Linked DNA regions of Rattus norvegicus. The protein of the gene in region 4 interacts with the protein of the main gene of each other region in a pairwise test. Links are inferred from orthologs where the notes say so. Each region holds a gene or a part of one and is shown on either strand. Other genes may lie near its edges.

Region 1 (4,010 bases), on a different chromosome or scaffold from region 4:
AATTCACTGTCACCAGAGAGAGAAATATGATGGTGTATATAAGGTGCCTTTAGCAGTGCCTACATATCATTCTAATGCTGACGCAAAGGGACTCATCACTAAAACAAAGACTGCAACTTCCCAATGGACAAGGAATCTCCCAGCCCAGAACTCTAGCTCTAAAGATCCGGCTGTGTCTTACAGTGTAAAAACAGGAAACAACCCAAAACCAGCAAGTCTGTAAGTCCTGCTTATACACTGTGACTTAACAAACAGAAAACAGAGTATCAGTAACGCCTGAGTTGTTACTGTTTTGTGGACTGGTTACACATGTATCCACTTGTGTGTAGAAGGAGGTGGTGGTGAGGAGCCCAGCTTAAGTGGCAGGCACACTTCAGAATCCCGGCTCTAATTCTCACTGGCTCTGTGATCAGGACAATCAGTTTATTTTCTGTCTTCTTGCTTCCAAATGCATAAGCAGGGTTAAGCCAGGGGTGTACAAGGTCCTGTACATACAGTCTTTAATCCTGGCTCTCACTGACTCTACAGAATACCAAGGAAGACTCTTCTTCCTCTCCTCTTCTTTTCTGCTTTTGTCATTTCTTCAGTTATGTAATTGGTTTGGGGTTATTTTTATTTGTTTGTTTACTTACTTATTTTATTTTGAGACTGGGTCTGTCAGTGTAGCCTTGATTGTCTTGGAACTCTCTACGTAGACCAGGCTGGCCTTGAACTCAGAGATCTGCCTGCCTCTGCCTCCTTAGTACTGAGATTAAACACTTGGCCTGGTTTGGGTTTTTTTAAAACAACCTACTCCAGGCTGGCCTCGAACTTACAGACATTCAATCTTAGCCCCCTGCATGATTACTCCTGACTTGCTTCTGTCAACTTTTGTAGGCCCACCATGACTGAGGCTGAGATGCCCTACAGCCTTAAGATCTGTCCATCAACAAAGGGGGACACAGAGCATCTTACAGCCTCTCAGTTAGCTTGTCCAGGACAATGTCACCAGCCTCTAGTTGCTTGCGCCTCAATCGCTCCTGCAGGTCTGGAAAGGGACGAAGGGCTAGCACATCCTCAAACCGCAGACTTTGTGCAGCTTGCAGCTGCTCAGCCAGATTGCTGAGAGAGGAGAGGAGGGGCAAGCAGTCCTGCAGAGTGCTCTGCCACAGGTCCTGCTGTTCCTCCACCACGGGGAAGCACTTCTTCAGGGCCTCCTGCACAACCAGCAGCGGCTGGTCATGAGCCATCTTCTGGGTAGAAAAACAAAACAAAACAAAACAAAAGAGAGTCAGGGTACCAAAAAGGGAGAGCCTACATCAAGGGTGAGTCATTTTTGACCTCATGAGAAGACCAGATTTGGTTTTCAAATAGTCCCAAGGCAATATTGAAAGGTAGGGAGACTCTAGGTGACACAGAAAAGAACTCTTCGTCCTGGAAGCAGGTTGACACTTTCGACCAACAATGAAGTAAGAATTTCAGCAGCATACTTACCAACTGCTTAAGGCCTTCCTTCCTTCCATGTTCTAGAAATCTCACCAGAAATCCCATTTACAGAGAAAGGTCACACACTACTCCATTTACAACCAACTGCTTAAGGCCTTCCTTCCTTCCATGTTCTAGAAATCTCACCAGAAATCCAATTTACAGAGAAAGGTCACACACTGCTCCATTTACAACCATAGGAGCTCCTGATTTCACTTTATTGGATTGTAATACCATCAGAGAATATTGGAAGCCCTCTCACTTACTTCTCTTCTCAAACAACTTTTTGTTTGAAGAGAATAACAAGGGTTCTTTAGAAACCCTTTTGAGATGTAACCTGAAAGCTACCAAAATAAGTATACACGGCTAATGTAATATGACTTTAATCCCAGCACTCTGGAGGCAAAGCCAGGTGATCTCTGGGTTTGAAGCAAGCCTGGTCTACAGTCCCAGGATGGCCAGGGCTACAGAGAAACCCTGTCTCAAGAAACTGGGGGGCGGGGGATGGTGTCAACTGTTGATCTCCCTGGAGAAGACCAGACCCACATGACTATGTCTAACTTTCTGAGATTGTTTGAGCAGCCTTCAAGTGTATTCTATTTTATGCCTAAGTGCTTCTCTCTTAATCCCTGTGCTTAAGCCTGTATTAAAAGCTTTAGGCTGGGAGTTGACGAATGTACCTTTAATCCTAGCACATGGAAGACTGAAACAGGCAGATCTCTGTAAGTTCGAGGCTAACTTAGTCTACACAGAGACTGCCAGGCTAGCCTGAGTTAAATGGTGAGCCCCCGTATCAAATGTGTGCATGTAACTCTGCTTCATAGACTGGCTAGTGCTGAGTTCTTTCCAGCCTCAGAGCCATCAACTGAGCTGAAGTCCCTAAAAGGTTAGGGGAACTCCTCACCTTGCTGAAGTAGGCAGAGTGAAGCTGTGCTCCTCTGTCTTGTCACCGCTGACACTCAAGAATAAAGATTGCGGCGGTCCTCTTACCAGTTCTCTGCAGAAGGACTGCAGGTCTTCCGAAGGGGTTTCTAAACGACAGTGCAATCTACTTTAGATTGCGAAGCCCTGGGGTCTGTCTATCCCCGGACCAGTGCTTCTGGAGTCTTGTCTCCTCTCTTTAAGATTTCCAGCCCTGTTCCTAAATCAACAGGAAAACGTAAATCCTGGGTTGTCAACACTGAGTACATCAAAAACTACACGGGGCTTGGCACTGTCTGCTCATTCACAAGACCGAACTCACCACTCCAGTTCTAGTTAGCACGACTCTGGAGTCGCGAAAAGATGGCGTATGCCTCAATGACTTCTGGGCATTGTAGTTCTCCATAAGGATTGGCTGACGGAGGGAGAAGAAGCTTTGTTGTGATTGGACTTTGTGAGAACCGTCCTAAGACGACGATTTGCTATTGGCTAGGCTGTGCCCGTTGAGTTTGAATTGGGTGGCGGTTAGTGGAAGATCAACCCGTCCCTCAGCTGGAGCTGTAAGGTTTCCTGAGTCTGTTTTGGGACCCCCAGGTTTGTTTCCGCAGAGTTCAGGATACCTAGACTCCAACGACTGAACTTCCGCTGCTCCCCGACCACTCACGCCCTCTTTCCCGGTCTCATTCGCTAACCCGGCAGCTCGGCCCCTCGCTGGACGCACCCTGGTGTCATGGCTCCTAAGAAACGCAGCAGCCGCGGGACCAGGACCAACACACTGCGGAGCCGGAAGCTCGCCTCCTTCCTAAAGGACTTCGACCGCGAGGGTAAGGGGTGGATTCGCGTGATCGTGAGTTTTGGGTGGGTTGGGGCGCGGGTGCGACGGCTTCGCACACCTGACGCGGGATCCATCGGCTTTCACCTCTTTGCAGTGCAAGTTCGAACCAAGCAAATTGAGTCCGACAGGCAGACCCTCCTCAAGGAGGTGGAAAATCTCTACAACATCGAGGTCCTTCGGCTCCCCAAGGCGCTGCAAGTCATGAAGTGGCTTGACTACTTTGGTAAGAGCTGCTAGCGTTTCCCCCGTGGCCGATTAGTGCTTATCTTGAAAACTTTCTATAGGGACTCATTCAGATGTCTTAATAAGGTCTTAAATAGCCACCGGTGGGAAATTGCCATCTGTCATAACTTATAAAAAAAAAAGTGATAGACCCATTGGAAAGAAGCGGGCATGAATTACCCTTCAGATGAGTGTTATTAGGATAGTGCTTCACACTTTCACTGCTCAGTGGGAGGAGAGCTTTAGAAGGTATATACCAGAGATAGATGAGGGGGGGGGAGGGGGGGGCTGAAGGAAGAGGGAGGGAGGGAGAGGGAGGGAGGGAGGGAGGAGGAGGAGGAGAAGGAGGAGGAGGAGGAGGAAGAGGAAGAGAGAAAAGATCAAATCCATAGTACAAAGTGAGCTTCTGATTCTTGAAGGCTTTCAGAGGTTGGGGAAGGCCGTTCCACACTGACCTGACCTAGCCTAAGCTAGCCTAGGCAAGGATGCAGGCACTTGGTAGGACTATAAAAGTTTTCCTGCCGATTTACAGAGGAGGGAGAGAAATGCAAGACCAGGATACATCATG
Region 2 (4,004 bases), on a different chromosome or scaffold from region 4:
GTAAAATACAGTGGGACTGCACTATGTGATAACTAAGTACCTGGGCACTGAAATTACTCATGCCACTTATTACCTGTGTGACTTTTAAATCTTCATGTTCAAACTGATGGTAATCACGGTATTGTTGTGTTACACAGGGTGTGAGAATTAAACACACAAGTTACATAGAGTACCTAACATATTTCCTTCTTGGAAATAAACATCCAGAAAACATTACCTACTATTTTTACTGAGGCAAGTTTTGTACTAAAATTCCAAAGCAAAAAAGAATGGCATTCCAAATACCTATGAACAGCAACAGAAGGAAAAAAGAAGTATCACCACAGGCCACTCAGGCAACTTAATTAAGGTGGTCATTTTTGTGTAACCAGAGACATAATCCTCATGTGATGGACTGTGCCAAGCTAGAGTTTAGAATTTTAGCAAGGAGTCCTGAAGGTCACAAAGAACAAGAATGAGAATGCTCCATTTGCAAAGTGAGGTTTTAGGACAATTCTGACAATAGTACAGCATGTGAAATGGGACATAAATACTGCTCCAATACAAGTGGTGAAACAGAAGGGAGAAAGGATGACAGAGGAAGAAGGACAAATTCAAATACAATACCACTGTGTGCAACCAAGGTTTTACTACTCCCTAAATGTGCTTAGTGAGGAAAACAACATACCCCACCCCTTTAAACTGACCCAAGCAGGGTGATGACATACATCATCACAAGGGGTCCGTTCAAGGAAGGAGTAGCAGTAACTACCTCGCTTATTTTGTTTACTAACTTGAGTTATGTTGAGAACTGAAAATGCAGTTAGAAATGGTTTTACAACGAGGCCAGAACTGAGGGGACTTTTGAGAAATAAAGTTACAGAAACAGACTTGGGAATTATGTTCCCAGGGATGAGGCAAGTAAAGGTCTAAAGTAACAAAACCTGGAAGCTACAAAGAGAAATTAATATACTGTAGAATCAGAAGCTGCATGAAGGGCTAGTTGCAATAAATGCTAAAAGGTATGAAAGAGAAAGGAGAAAGGTTATTTATCAGGCAGGTTTAAGTAACTATGAACAAAGTGACAGGTAAGAACTGAGAGTTAAAAAGTGAATCGTGAGTACTGCATTTGAAACACCTGGAAATTATTATATTAACACACCTTACGATGTAAGTACTTAGTGTTCACGTGCAGAGTTAAGCAACTGGAAAAGCAAACCGAAACTGGACAAGGCTGAGAACGCTATGAACTGAAAACCAGTTCTAATTCACACCAGCTCTATGACCTGGGCTGTTTAAAATGCCAAGAGCCAAGAACTAAGAGTATAAAATATTCACTTAACTGCTTGAAATTTACAAAAAAAGAGTAACCACTTTGAGTCTTCCTCAACCTATAAAGTAGCTCAAATAACTGAAAGGACCATCCCTTCGAATAAAACGGATGATTAAAATGCACAAGTAATTTGAGAGTAAAAATAAACACACACAAAGGGTCCGACTGTCTAAGGCTGGGGATGCAGCTCAGTAGAACTTGCCCAGCAGATTACGTCTCTCAAGAGTAGAACCACCTTAACTTTTCATCCCTGGAATTAGGTCTGGCTAATTATATTATTTTCCTTTTAATATAATAAATGATCAGACGACTCAGCGATAATAAACAGCTACTCGTCTAACAATCAAGACAATTCATAACTTCATGTTCACGCGCTGGCTTTAGAAACGTGTTTAAGCCCTACCAAACGATAGCCCATAGAGCTAAGAGTTAAAGTGGGACCCGCCCTGCTGAAGCAAACGGCACCAAGGGCGTTCATGCACAACTCTGGAGTGCCGGGCAGCAGGCTACATCTCCGCCATTCCCACACCCGCCCGCAGCGACCCCAGGACTCAACCAAGATGAGCGCAGCACACCCAGGATTTTACCCTCCGTTGAAGGCATAAGGCGAGAAACGCATCTGCACAGGGCCGGCGGAGCCCTGAGGCCCCATTACCAGCTCTCGGTCCGGGTCCCGGTAAGCGGCAGTGGAAAGCATCGCGCCTAACTCCTGCTGTCTCACGGCAAAATGGCCGCTGGGACCGGTCCACTTCCGCCTCCCTCGCCCCGCCCCTTGGGCTCCTCTAGCCTGTACTCGTCGCTGCTCTTGGAGGTCCACGCCTGCATCCAACTACCGCACAACCTGGATCTGCCGATTCCGAGAGACCTGTTTTATAATCCCAAGAAAACATTTGGATTTACTCATGGCGGATAGAAAATTAAAAGTCCGACTATACCAACAAATTAACCCAATTACAGAGTAACGACAACTCGGATGTCACATTGGTGAAGTGGCATAGCGTTTGGGAAGGGTTAGTGGTTCCTGCTGCATTCAAGGCCTGAGAATCGGGATGCGTAGTCAACTGTGTGGTGTATGCAGCCATGAGACCCAGGAAGCAATACTAGGTTTCCAGTCAGAATCTGATGGTTAATATTGTTAACTTCACAGAATTTAGCATCACCTAGGTAAAACCCATGGGCATGTCTATGCGGGTGTTTCAAGAAGGTTTAATAGAAGAGGAAAGACCCAACCAAAATATAAGCAGTACCACCTCATTGCCTGGATTTCCGGACTAAATAAAGAAGCGAACTAATATTTATCTAATTTATGCTTCCGATTTGTGGATGCAGTCCAGGTGTCATGCTCTCCCCTGGATTGTAGCCCCTCAAGCACTAAGCCAAAATAAATCTGCTTCCCATAAATTGTCTCTTGTCAGGCCTTTGTTAAGTTTTCTTAATTCCCCAGTCTTCTGTGGTTTCCTGTACTTCCAAGAGAAAATGTTTCCTTTAGGAGAAAATAGATACACAATACTATTGTACTTATTAGAGTCTATGCATATGGCAACCTATTCAACAGCTATACACAACACACAGATTCTCTTCTCTCTCTCTCTCTCTCTCTCTCTCTCTCTCTCTCTCTCTCTCTTTCTCTTTCTCTCTATCACACACACACACACACACACACACACACACACACACCGGGGGGGGGGGGAGTAAGCACAACAACACATGTATATGCCTAGGTGAACCATGGAAGGAAAAAATTAAGGTATGTTGGAATCAAATCAAGCATTAAGAACCAGTCTAAGAAACAGCTGACGTTTTCTTGTGACAGCAAGGACGAGAGCTGGTAGTAGCAGAGTTAAAATAGAAATGAGTCTGTGACTACAAAGCCGCTTGTTTTGCTGTTCCTCTTTGGACGCAAGTTGACATTTACTGAGAACATAATAAGAAGCGTCTGCTTGCCATTCACGTTATCCATCTCACAAATCTCTAAGAGGCAACTACTACTATCATTCAACTCTACAGAGCAAAGTGGAGGACCCAGTGAGCTTGCCAAGCGATCTCTTGAGTTCAAGACCAGCCTGTTCTACAAGAGTGAGTCCCAAGACAGCCAGAGCGACAAGGAGAAACTCTCAAAAAAACAAAAACAACACGTGGAAGATCGAGGATGTATACAGTTCAGTGGTAGAACGCTTGCTTGAGCCTGATCCCCATAGCCACATCCCCAATACTGTTCCCGCTACACACTCTACATCTCTCTTTGACAGCTAGAAAGGGCGGTCAGAGGCCTGGTCCCGAAAATGCTGGGACACCAACCCAACCCCTTTCTTTCACGAGTGTCTCACAGTTTAAGCACAACAAGCCGGGCTCCAGTCGAGAGCGCAACTGGCGGAAGTGACGGCATCAGATGTGCGTCAGGCGTTCGGTGGGGTCGAGTCCGGTAGCGGTGGCGGGTATCTGCTGGCGGTTTGGCTAGGTTTCTGCGGTCGCGTCATTTTCTCCGCAGTGCCCAGGTAACGGTTCTTTCATCCTTTTCTCTGCTTGGAGGCCTTAACAAAAGCGACTTCTGCAGCGGGTCCCTGGAGTTTGCCGGAGGAGACGCGGAATGGGCGCGCGGCCGGGCGGGGAACGGTCCTCCGCGCGGGCTGCGGCGGCTCCGGGAGTACCAGTCTCTGGACCACCGCCTCGGCGGGGTCATGAAATCCAGTGC
Region 3 (4,297 bases), on a different chromosome or scaffold from region 4:
TTTCCTCTAGAAGATGTGGCTCTGAGGCTGCGGAGGGAGCGATGAGACAGAGGTGAAAGATGTGGTAATGGAGCCTTTTACTAGTTGGCCACCTCAGAGGACTGGGAAATTAACCCTCAGGGATCTGAGCCAAGAGACTGTGGTGAACGCCTGACACCTATTTCTGCTGTTCTCCGTGCATGCGTATTTAAGATAAAGTTTAAATTCATAAATTATGCACAGTAAGAGATGAACAAGAATTAATAGTGGAGCAATTACAACGATATGGTTCTAATTAATTTGGTGTGGATGTATTCCCTCTCTCAGAGCATCATCTCACTGCCAAGTGTGGTGGCACACACCTTTAATACGAGTTCTCAGGAGGCAGAAGCGGGCAGAGAGATAGCTGTGGATTCTAGGTCAGCCAGGGCTACGCGGTGAGACCACGTCTCAAGTAAAATAAATAGATGCATACTATTATTGCTGGAACTTTCTATTTCACGTTTCAGAGCTCGGGTAATAAAAATCAAGGAAGTGAAGCCAGTCCTCAGATAAGGAACAACCGATGAGCAGAAAGCCACCAATGGCTCGTAAGTCACTCCCTGTTGTTTAAAAGACACAGGAAAGTGCCCATAAGTGCCCAGGGATGATAACAGACTGGGTTTGCTTTCACACAGCTACCGAGCAATACAAAACACGGTTAATTCAAACACTTTAAACGCCACGCCTCACTAGTATGTTCTTTAAATCATACACATATGCACATACAAATATGCTTTTCAAATCATGTATGTATTGAGTGAAAACCTGGCTGCCAACCAAGACAAGCAGATGATGGGAACCCAGACTTTCCTTTGCTGTCCCAAGAGTGATCCAGGATATTCTGATCCTCCACACTGGGGCGCCTCCTTTGGGTGTAAATTTCTCACAGCACCTGCTGGCATTTCTTCTAGGCTCTGCCCCACAGTTACCTGGCAACAGCCAAATATACCTGACTCAGTATAAAAGGGGCTGCTTGCCCCCTCCTCACTCTTTTGCTCTTTGTCCCTTTTCTCCCCATTCTCCTCTACCCGCCTCTATACCTGATCAAAGCCTGCCTCTACTCTCTATTCTTCCTCCTTCTCTTCCTCCTCCTCCTCCTTCCTCTCTCTCTGTCTCTGTCTCTGTCTCTCTCTGTGTCTCTCTCTGTCTCTGTTTCTCTCTGTCTCTCTGTCTCTGTCTCTGTCTCTGTCTCTGTCTCTGTCTCTGTCTCTCTCTCTCTCTCTCTCCTTTCTCTGTTTCTTCTACCCCGTCCACTCCCCTCCCCATGCCCTAAATAAACTCTATTCTATACTCTTATACTATACCATGTATGGATGGTCCCTCAGGGGAAAGGGATGCCTCAGCATGGACCCACAGAGGCACCCCCTTCCCCCACACCTCTACTAAACATATCCCTGACTTCTTTTTCTTTTTTATAAAACACAATAGCACCCATCTCACAATGTTGGATTTCCAGGAAAATCAGCTCAGCTGTGGCTCTGGCTGTCAGGATAGCACTGTGCCTGGGATTGTACACATGGAACTTGAGGAAAAGAACAGACCAGAACCTTGTAACTGCTGTCTAGGGCTGACCTCAGCTCAGCCAAGATACACAGTTATTCTTGCCTCTGCTTAGCTTCTAGATAGGGAAGTCTGTTTCTAAGAGCATATTAATGTCTGGCTCTAGCAACCATCTACTTTCTTCAAAAGCTTCTCTCTATATTTTTTAAAGTACTAACTTGGTAAAAAAAATAAACTTTCTGAAATATTTTAAATTTCGGAGTAACTTACAATCACTCCACTAAATGCCCAGTTTCTACCAACCAGTGAAAACAAATGGTTATTGGATAATGGAATTAATTTTCTCTTCAGCTTCTGTGGGAAAGCACATGATTTTAAGGGTTATCTCAGATCGGCCTAGTGACCCTAGCTGGCATGTTGTCCCATCAGACGCTCTAGGAAACTGAAAACTTGAATAGCTACTTCCTAGGCCGCCTGCCCCAGTTTGACAGCACCAGACTCATCTCCGTTCTTATTCTAAGTACAGGGATCCAACCTCGCTTTTCAAAAGCGTATTAACAAAGCCTTGCAATTATAGTCGCCTTCTGACTCATTTGTGGATACCCGTGTAGAAACAACAGCTCCTCCCTCTGCTGAGAAATGCTCTACTAAGTGTGAGAGAGCCACAGGAAGTAAAACGCAGGTCTCAGCTGGTCTCGGCCAAAGAAGCCAAAAGAATTCCGTAGTGTGGTTCTTTAAGCAAAGCCACCAGATCGCTCCCCCCTAAAACAAACTCCCCCAAATCTTCTGTGCGGGCTGTTTCAACGCCTTATCAATGTTCCCATATTTCCTGGCTCCTGAGTCATACTGTCAAGTTCAAGTGGAGAAGTGCCCATTCTGATGTGCTTGAGAAAGTGGCAACCAAACGGAAAAGAAGCACCTCCATTCAATAAAACAATAAAACTGACTACACCAGTCATTTCTGAAGCACTTCTGATAAAGCCTTAGATTCTCAAAGACTTAAAAAGCTTTTGGCTCTAGGAGTGAAACCCAAAGCCGCGTCCTGAAGGTACCTAGAGGCGCAGAGGGAACCACACCCCAAACCCACCTGCTGCTGGGCAGCATCCCTGCCCTGGGCCAGTGAGGTCCGCCACTCCAGCCAGCCCCGCACCCGGGTCCCCGATGCCCAAAGAGTTTGAGAACCAAAGCACACTCCCGTGACGAAACGAACCGTGATCCGGCGGGGCGCTGATCCAGCGTCCGGACGCCGGGAGGACACGCAATGCTCGCGTCCCGGAGGCTCTGCCTCTTCTGCTTCTTGATGGCCAGGGCTGCGCTTCTCAGCCGGGTCCGAGCTCTGCGCCACCCCGGCCGCATCTGGCGCTGCTGGCTCCGCCCCCACCGCGCTGAGCCTGCACAGCTGGGGGACCAGGCCCCGCCCCGGGGACGCCCTGGGCTGGGCGCGCAGTTTCTCGTCCTCACGGACGAGAGTCGCCACGGTGCGGGTGGCTGAGAACCTAGACACGAGCCTCCCTCCACTGCTGTGCGCCCCGAGATGCTGCGGGCGACCGTGTGGACCACCCGGGAAACTTCCTCTGTCTTCTTCGGTGCTCTGGGATGGAGAGATGGGCGGAGCGGGATTCGTCGGACTTTCCAAGGGAAAACCCCTCGGCATGAATGACATTTGCAGTCCAGAGCATTTCCGAGGCTAGGACGCTAGAAACCGTTTCTGAGCGTGGGTGTGGCTGCGCCTGCAGAGACCCGCGCGATGGTTGAACCGGAGGTTGTGGATCTTGAAGACACTGAGCCCCGCCTTCCACTAGTCCCTTCCCGCCTGCTGTCAGTGGGGCATCCACGGGTACTGCCACGACCTCGTCCTCGTAGCCTGACACCCTACTAGAGACTCGGAAAGAGAAAAGGGGCTTTCGGGTGAGCGGATGGGAAGCCTCTGGACAAACACGGCGAAGGCTAACCATCTAAAACAGAAAAATGATGTGTGCATTGATGCTAGGAAGTCACCCAAAGAGCTCCGGGTGCCTAAAGCCGGAAGAATTTGAGGAACGAGGTGGCACTGGATGGTAACACAAAGTTATTCATCTAACGTGAACAGATGGCCGATGAAATAGGTCCACAAGTCTCCGGAGCAGAGCAACTTCAAGCAACCGAAGCAGAAACCCACTTTCTTGGAAAAGAAACTTGTCTCTCTGCACTCAATATAGAGAGCCTGCTCCTCTACATAGGGCTGTACAGAAAGGAGGAGGAAAGTAGTTTTTACCACACAGATAAATGATGTTGTGACAGTGAGCGGAGCTTGCCCCTGGTTCAACAACCACAAATCCACTTGCACACCCCCACTCCCACCCCCACCCCACGAAAATGCCTGACCAATCCTACTCACAGCTGTTGAAAGATCCTACGAGAAAAGAATCTTAACCGGCCACGGAAGATGCTGAGAAGGCTGGGAGGTGGGTTTCGGAATTAAACAAAAACAAATCGGTGGGAGACGGCTCAGAACTTGATGTTCTTGCGGAGGACCTGAGTGCGATTCACAGCACCAACATGGTGCCTCTCCTAACCTCTGTGGGTGCCGGTCGCACACATGATATGTACACGGTAGATGGAGGCAAAACATTCCCACACATAAAATAAAAGGAAAGGAATCTCTGAAAATGGAAACAAAACACTTAACTAAAGATGGAGGGAGGAGGCTGGTTTCTCAGCCAGAATGACTCCATCCTGTTAATGTCGGATCTTGATAGAAGGGGAACCTAGAATAGAAAATAAGGAGAGGCATCAG
Region 4 (7,882 bases):
GCCACCATCTGGGTCCTGGGAATTGGACCTGGGTCCCCCCGGAAGGGCAACCAGTGCTCTCAACTGCTGAGTGGTCTCTTCAGCCTCCCGTATTAGTATTTAATATGTGTGTTTGCTGAACGATGTTTGCTGTTGGCCGCTTTGTGCCACTGCATCCTTAGACTGGGCATGGATGCTGAGAAGGGACATACGGGGCAGTAGCCCAGTAGAGGCTCCAGAGAGTCACCAGTGACCTCGCAGGCGTGACTACAAACAGGAGAGCACCAGGCACACAACTTGGGAGCATGAAGTTCCTGGGTTATCTGGGGGTGTTGTCCAGATTCCCCTAAGAGACGGGACTCATGATCCTCTAGTCTTCTTTATATTTTTGAGACAGGGACTCCCTCTGTAGTCTAGGTGATGTGGAGCTCACACCAGATACTCCTGTTCCCACGTGCTGTGGGTTTAGGAATAAACCAGCTTCTGATACACACACACACACACACACACACACACACACACACACACACACACACTCATCCTGCCTTTTCCAAGAGCCAGGATACTCCTGTTCCCACGTGCTGTGGGTTTAGGAATAAACCAGCTTCTGATTCACACACACACACACACACACACACACACACACTCACACACATCCTGCCTTTTCCAAGAGCCAGGAGTAAAGGCAAGTGCCGGTGGTTAGCAGGATGGGTGCTGGGGGAAACGCACACCTTTGAGCCATCCTCTTTCCAGCAGATGGATACAGTCCAGGGCTGCTGCTCTCGGCAGGACCCCAGGGATGATGGTGTTTAAGGGACAGCCTATGTTTCAACATGTCTCTTGGTTCTTGTGAGATTCTTCTGAGGACTGAACTGACCATACTTGTTTCTTTAGTGAAGTCTTCCAGGAGAGTGGGTCTGGTAAGACAACAGTTAAGGAAACCAGAGGGAAGTTAAATCGGGAGGCTGTGGTCATGAGCTGCAGCTCAGATGGGTGGTGGCCCTGTTCTTGAGCTTTGATTATGGGGTATTGGGCTGTGGCTGCTACGGAGGCCTGGGCTCAGCAGTTCTACTGACGCTCCATTCAGAAGCCGTTAGTGACCAGCTTCCAAGTTCATGTCCTTCCGGCCCTGCAGAGCTCTGCCTTATGGGTACGGACGGACGTGTGCCGAAGTGTGCTCCAAGCACAGGGGCAGGACCTGTAGGTCACAGACTCAGTCAGTCCAGCCTTGTTCCAGCCACTAAAGACCGAGTGGTACCTCCAGGACGCTGCAGAAATTCCCAGCCCCCTTTCTGTGCTTCAGCCAGCAGCCCAGAAATAGTAACCTTTGCTCCTGCCTGAAGGCAAATGGAAACTTCCAACTGTCGCCATCCCTGCCACCCCGACCTCCCCCAGCCTGCAGGAGATAGTGTAGCAGTTGGTTGAAGGGCGGGGACAGAATTAAGCTGAGGAGAAATGTCCTAAATACAAGAGATGGAGGGAGGAAGAGGCTGAGGATGTGGCTGACTAGGCACCTGCTGGGCCGATTTTCACTCTTGCGATTCTTTTTCTAAAAGATTTACTTTATCTATGTGAGTACTCTGTCACTGCCTTCAGTCACACCAGAAGAGGTCATCGGATCCCATTACAGATGGTTGTGAGCCATCATGTGGGTGCTGGGAATTGAACTCAGGACCTCTGGAAGAGCAGTCAGTGCTCTTAACCACTGAGCCATCCCTCCAGCCCTTGCAATTCTTTTGATTGGCCTTTTGATGCTCAAAGTTAGAGTGTAGGTCAGAGAAAGTATAAACTGATGGTAGCTATCCGTGCCTCTTTAAGGCACTTGAAGCATGCCTTGCTTGGTGTTGCCTTTGGTTTGCCCACTGGCACTAGAGGGCAGAGATTGATTAGACTGAGAAGGGAGGGAAACAGCTTCAGAGAGGGAGCAGAGTTTGTCTACAGCCACACAGCACACAGATGACATGCTGTCTCTGTGCTTTACCCTCCCTGTACCAAGCATTAAAGAAAAGGTGTGGCGCCTGGCCCTGGGATGTTGTCACAAGCCTTTAGTTCCAGTGGTGACAAGGCAGAGGCAGACAGATCTCTGCAGCTTCCAGACCAGTCAGGGCTACAGCATGAGGCCCTGTAAATAAAATAGAACAAGATTGACACTTGGCTTGAGACAGAAAGGCATTTTCCCAGATGCCCTGTGAACACAAGCACAGCAAAGCCGTGTCTTTAAGGTAAAACAGTCGAGCCTCAGATGGGTCCAGAACGACCTGGAGCCCTTCCTGATCAGATCCTCCTCTGCGGCTGTGACGTTTATCTCGATCCCCCAGGTTTAAGTTGCTCTTGTTTCCGTGTCCGTGGGTCTCTGTGTGCGCACAGCCCCACACCAAGCGCACACACAGACCCCGCTGCCTGTGAGCTCCCAGTTCACCTTTCATCTGTCTTGTGTATTATTACCCTTAAATGGGTTCACGTTCCCCACACCGTCTGGACCCTTGCTTGGCGTCTTTCTCCAAATGAAGTGCCCCACTTTACCCCTCCACTCACCTGCCCCAGCCCAGCCACCTTTGCCTCAGTCCCTTGACCAGGACATGGGGTCGCATTGCCCCTGGATAGCCCCATGGGACACAGCATGCAAGAAGCAGAGTGGCCGTTCTCCTGGTCAGATGGACTCGTGTGTAGCCTCCTGGTTCTGGGAGTGCCATCCTTAGGTGGGAAGCTGTCTACCAAGGTGTCACAGCAGGCGACACTATGACACTATGGGGGAGTGGCCCTAAGACTGCCGTGTGTAGGCAGGACAAGACAGCCACCTGCATTAAGGCTCGTTAGGAGAATGCTGCTCACATGTTGCTGCCCCCTGGAGCCTGAAGGGATAGCACAGACTTTATCTAGGGGACGTAGGTTCTTAGAACCCCTTTTACCGGTGTGGAGACTGACTGTGGTGGCACCCAAGAATAAATTACTGTCATCTTTCTGTAGGATGTTAGTCTGACTTCTCCGGTTTCCAGGCAAGACTCTTTGTCCACACCTCCTTGGTGAAGACAGTGCTTGGGCCCTGGGACCAGAGTGCTCACAACCCCAGGGCAAGGGTCTCTCCTCAGTGCAGTCCCTTCACGAGAGGATTCTGGTTGTGTCTTGGCAGCAGGCCCTGCAGGACAAGGGGTGCGAGAGCAAGAGTCAGGGGACGAAAGAAGACAGACTCCCGAAGAGGCAGGCGCCGGCCCCCAGGCGGGACCGGGAGGCCCCAGAAGCTGGTGGTACCATGAATGTAGAAAAACCAGGTAAAGGAGGTCAGCCCCACTGTCTGACACGCTCTGGCTGAGCGAGTGCAGGAGGGAGAACTCTGTCCCACAGCTGGAAGTGGCTCAGCCAGGCTGGCCACCTGACATGAACCTGAGACTCCGACCAGCCTCGTCCAGATCCATGGACAGCCATGTGTCTGTCCTCTTTCTTGTCCTGCCCCTTGTCCCAGGGCCACCAGGGCCCCACCCAGTGATAAGACTTTGGCCAGTGGAGGTTGGGTTGGATTTCCCTTCTTTTTGTCTTTTCCCAGTACCTACCTAAAGCAGGGCCCAGGAGCAGCCTCGCAGACGCCACCAGTTCCTTCAGCAAAGGCCTGGCTCTGTTCCGGTCAGAGGATCCAGAGGTCAGGGACTCGTTTCCCTCCCTCCAGGCAGAGAAAACTAAGCCTGCAGTTCCATTATCCCCTGACCACTAGGGCACCTAGAACTAACTGGTTTTCAAAGGTTCTCCAGGTTCCTTTGCTGTCTTCTGGGTTTTCAGCAGAAAGTACTGGCCAGTGAACACAGGGAGAGAACATCTTAGGGAGCCTCGGGGCAAGGCCAGGAGTACTGGGGAGAGGTGCTGTTTTCTCAGAGTCTGTGTGTCTGAACTTGCTGGGGTTGCTGGAGGAGGTCCCTCCCTCCTCTGAATCTGAACCAGTGCCTGTTGTGTACAAGCCCTGGTCCATCTAGATTCAGGGCAGGCATAGGGTGTGTAAGCAATGGGCAGTCAGGTTTTCAAAATGGCTACCATCTGGCCAGCTAGGTGGGGTAAGCCCAGAGGAAGGAAGGCTAGGTCCTCCTAGCTCAGGCATAGCACCTGAGCTCTGGGCCCTGTCGTGGTCCATGCCTCTAGAAACTGACCTGTCAGGTGGTAGCTTCCTCAGCAGGGGCTTGTCCTGCTCAAGCACCCTTGGGCCTCACCTCTCCTCCCTTCTTCCCTTAGCTCAGTCCTCCCTTAGCTTCTTCAAGAGTGTCTCTTCCACTACCCATGACTCTGCAGCTTCCACTCAACTCCTGGCCCTCTTACACAGGGTACCATGCTGTGGTCTGGGGCTCAGAGCCTCCCAGGACAGGAGCGGTGTCATGGATGACACTCATACCTGTGTTTCCAATGGGACTCCAGCTATTTTCCCATGGCTGCTTTTGGGCTAGGTGCATTGTCCCTGTTTCACACAGGAAGAGCCTGCAGGGTCCCTCCCATGTGATTCAAGAGGCAAGACCAGCTCTCAGCCCAGCACATTCGGTCGCGCACCGATGCAGTCTGTGGCCTTACTGGTCACATGTCACCCGTGGCAGCCCCGTGTGCTGGCCTAGAAGCATCGGGCTGCCCTTACTCCCTCTAGAATAGATCACAGAGGCTGGACCTGCACTGTGTGACTTTCATGCTGTGTCACATGCAGGGCCACACAGCTGGGGCCACTTGCCTAGCACGGGTTGTCCAGCCCCAGATCTCGGGGGTGGGGGGAGAGGACACCAGCCCCACCCATGGGAGCCTAGCTTCAGCTGCTCCCTCCCATTTCCCTATACTGCCCTGGGGCTTTGCAGAACTGTGGTCAAGGCTTGCTAGTGGTGGGGGTGAGACACAGGGAGGCCCCTCATCTCTGAGGAAGCCAGAAGCTAAGGCAGCATTGAAGTAGAAGGCTCACCAGCTAGCACTGGACTTCTGCATGCCCAGAATCTTTGCAGGGCCCCGACTTGGGATGCTGAGGGGAGGAGGCAAATTCTTTTCTTGTCCTCCTGGACCGCTATTGGTTCTGCATTACACAGGCCAGGCTGTTCTCCTCTTCAGAGCTTTGGAACAAGCACCACAGCCCCATTACACATCACAGCCTGTCTCTCATCTCGATGACAGAACAGTAAAAGGTGTTGGGGGAGGAGTCGGGCTGAGGCCTCGCCTGACTTGGTATTTGTCTTTCTCTTGTGCCTGCATACAGGCACCATCCTGAGAATGTGCTTAACTCCTTGTCTGTTCCACGTGCTGGCCCATCTGTGCCCTGATCTGTTGCTTGCACACATCCCCTTACCCCTCCTCCACACTCACAGGGACCACGTCCCACAGAACAGCTGGCAGACAAAGCCTGGTCCTCTCTGCTGTGCTTTTTTTTTTTTTTTTAAAGATTTATTCATTTTATTATATATAAGTACACTGTAGCTGTCTTCAGATACACCAGAAGAGGGCATTGGATCTCTTTACAGATGGTTGTGAGCCACCATGTGGTTGCTGGGAATTGAACTCAGGACCTCTGGAAGAGCAGTCGGGTGCTCTTAACCACTGAGCCATCTCTCCAGCCCTCTGCTGTGCTTTTGAGAGATCGAGAATGAGCATGGAGAGCCACTTCTGAGTAAGCCTCTATTCTTTCCCAGGAAATCGCCTGAGTGCAGGCCAAATTTCCTACTTTGAGGGGACTCAGGAAAAATTATTTTCTTAAGTCTTGGTTTAGTCAGTTCTGTCCTCTAGAAACTTTTGCTAAAGTGACTTCCCCAGAGGACAACCCGGAGGTCCTCTGCAAACCCATTTTGCTGTATTCTTCAGTCCTCACCCTAGCCCCAATGGTGCGCTTGTTGTGATGGCTGCCTTCCTCCTCCAGGCAGACCTCCACTGTCCTGCTGATCAGCCACTACTTTGCTTGTAGGTGGGCGGCTCCTTGGCATCGGGAGGTGCTCAAGCCTGTCCGGGTCACCAGGCCCAGACCCCGTGGTACATAGGACCGTGGAGGCCATGTCCCAGCTTCAGGAGGAGCTGGTAGTCCTTCGGGAGAGGCTGGCCCTCCATGACAGTGACCGGCAAGCCACAACCACCCAGCTGCAGAACCAGGTACCTGGGGAGGCAGGGATGAGCAGAGGCCACTCACTGCCCTCTGGAGCAGGTCAGAGGACATTGTCAGGGTACCTAGACTCCACCAGAAGCCAGATGGTGACCCTTTCCTGGTCTAGGAAGATGCTGCAGGGCGAGGAGGTTCAAACTTGGCTTCTTACTGCAACAAGGGCCTTTAGCACCTCAGTATCTTCCCAGCCAAAAGGTTTTCCTCTCTAATTGATTAAATCTACTTGCTTATTAAGGGGGGGAGTTGAAAGTGAACTGCCCAGACTCTCTGGTCTCCCTAGCCCCACTCGCTCATCACCTGTAAGGAGGACGCCCAACCTACCTGACGCCTCAGGCCTCAGATGACTTACGGATTCAAACCGGTACCTAGCCTCTGCTTGGGGTTTTTTGGTGAGCTTTTTGACTATGTGTTTATTACAGTGTTCTTAAGGGATGATCCCTGTAGCTCTGTACCCATTAGCTGTGCTCTGTAGGGTCCAACCCTGTGGAGACATGGCCAGCCTCCTGGGCCTGGAGCTGTGAGTAAACCCTGACTGTCTGGGAGCACTTACTAGTCCTGGGCTAGATAACTACCAGTCTGCGCCTCTTTTCCTCATCTGCAGACAGATAACAGGATCCAGATGTGCTAGCACCTGTCGGGGCAGATGTGGCTCTGGAACTCTGGAAATAGCTGTCTGAGGCTGTCTTGGCTGTGAGGCTGTAGGGAATGTTGTCAGTCCTGTGAGCCCCATTTTCTGATTTCTAACCAGGCTGATGACTATCAGATGGGCTGGCTGTAAGAGTGGACAGGAAGATGGTTATGAACTATAAAGTGTGGTGTCCTGTAGGGGGCTGTCGCTGGACCTCACTGTGGGTTTTGTTGTTTTGTTTGTCGGCTGTTGGTTTTTCTGAGATAAGCTCCCCGATCTAGCCTAGTGTGTCTTGGAACTCACTAACTAGACCTGTCTATCTTGCTGTCACCATGAACGTCACAGTCGATAGTAGCCACCTTCTGGGCACGGTGAGTAATACTGCTACCAACACCGAAGTTCCTGCTTTCAGTTCTTTGGTGTGTATGCCCAGAATTGGGATTACAGAATAGTGTAGGGCTTCGTTCTTTGTTCTTGTTTATTTAATGTTGAGACGTGGCTCTCTTTTCCTTGCTTTTTTTTTCCCCCTTCATTTTTTAAAAGACAGGACCTCACCGTGTGGCTCTGGTTGTCCTGGAACTCCCTGTGTAGACCAGGCTAGCCTCAAGCTTTCAGACTCCTAGAGACCTACCTCTGCCTTCCAGTGCTGGGATTAAAGGTGTGCGCCACATGGCCAGGGTCTTCATTGTTTTAGCCCAGGCAGTTTGATGTGGTTGAGTTGTAGGTGTTTTCTGGATGGTAACCCTTCATTCTCAGTAACTGGTGAGCACTTCCTTCACACTCGGTGTTGTCTTCACTCGCTCGATGGCTTTGGGTTCAGGGGTGATAGATGAAGCTCTCTACCTGTGATGCTATTTCTTTTTTTTTTTTTTTAAAGAGTTATTTATTTAATGTATATGGATACACTGTAGCTGTCTTCAGACATACCAGAAGAGGGCATCAGATCCCATTACAGATGGTTGTGAGCCACCATGTGGTTGTTGGGATTTGAACTCAGGACCTCTGGAAGAGCAGTCAGTGCTCTTAACCACTGAGCCATCTCTCCAGCCCGTGATGCTATTTTCTTATGTGTCATTTTTTACTTTTATTATTTATGTGTGTGTGTGTGTTGCCTGCGCATGTCTGTGCCACTGCACGTTATATCTGCAGAGGCCAGAAGAGGGCATCAGATCCCTCAG

Evidence for each region.
Region 1: the proteins of Kifc3 (region 4) and Airim interact in binary tests that used the Homo sapiens proteins (3 or more experiments, as listed by UniProt). The two-hybrid records come from large-scale screens. The link is inferred for Rattus norvegicus from reciprocal best matches to the Homo sapiens genes KIFC3 and AIRIM.
Region 2: the proteins of Kifc3 (region 4) and Psmb1 interact in binary tests that used the Homo sapiens proteins (3 or more experiments, as listed by UniProt). The two-hybrid records come from large-scale screens. The link is inferred for Rattus norvegicus from reciprocal best matches to the Homo sapiens genes KIFC3 and PSMB1.
Region 3: the proteins of Kifc3 (region 4) and Stx11 interact in binary tests that used the Homo sapiens proteins (3 or more experiments, as listed by UniProt). The link is inferred for Rattus norvegicus from reciprocal best matches to the Homo sapiens genes KIFC3 and STX11.

Annotation. Positions count from the first base shown.
Region 1 is NC_086023.1:142,482,177-142,486,186, reverse strand, and holds the start of Airim (ribosome biogenesis protein C1orf109 homolog), read right to left. Parts: upstream 2,801-4,010; 5' UTR 2,455-2,800; exon of another isoform or gene 2,369-2,454; intron 1,233-2,368; 5' UTR 1,230-1,232; coding exon 955-1,229; intron 1-954. Other genes in the region: Cdca8 (borealin), read left to right, coding at 3,116-3,209, 3,315-3,443. UniProt on the Homo sapiens protein: Part of the 55LCC heterohexameric ATPase complex which is chromatin-associated and promotes replisome proteostasis to maintain replication fork progression and genome stability.
Region 2 is NC_086019.1:65,132,744-65,136,747, forward strand, and holds the start of Psmb1 (proteasome subunit beta type-1), read right to left. Parts: upstream 2,801-4,004; 5' UTR 2,563-2,800; intron 2,178-2,562; 5' UTR 2,010-2,177; coding exon 1,900-2,009; intron 93-1,899; exon of another isoform or gene 74-92; intron 1-73. UniProt on the Homo sapiens protein: Non-catalytic component of the 20S core proteasome complex involved in the proteolytic degradation of most intracellular proteins. This complex plays numerous essential roles within the cell by associating with different regulatory particles.
Region 3 is NC_086019.1:9,137,420-9,141,716, forward strand, and holds the start of Stx11 (syntaxin-11), read right to left. Parts: upstream 2,801-4,297; 5' UTR 2,732-2,800; exon of another isoform or gene 2,609-2,731; intron 1-2,608. UniProt on the Homo sapiens protein: SNARE that acts to regulate protein transport between late endosomes and the trans-Golgi network.
Region 4 is NC_086037.1:9,902,262-9,910,143, forward strand, and holds part of Kifc3 (kinesin-like protein KIFC3), read left to right. Parts: intron 1-3,109; coding exon 3,110-3,248; intron 3,249-5,392; exon of another isoform or gene 5,393-5,884; coding exon 5,885-6,066; intron 6,067-7,882. UniProt on the Homo sapiens protein: Minus-end microtubule-dependent motor protein. Involved in apically targeted transport. Required for zonula adherens maintenance.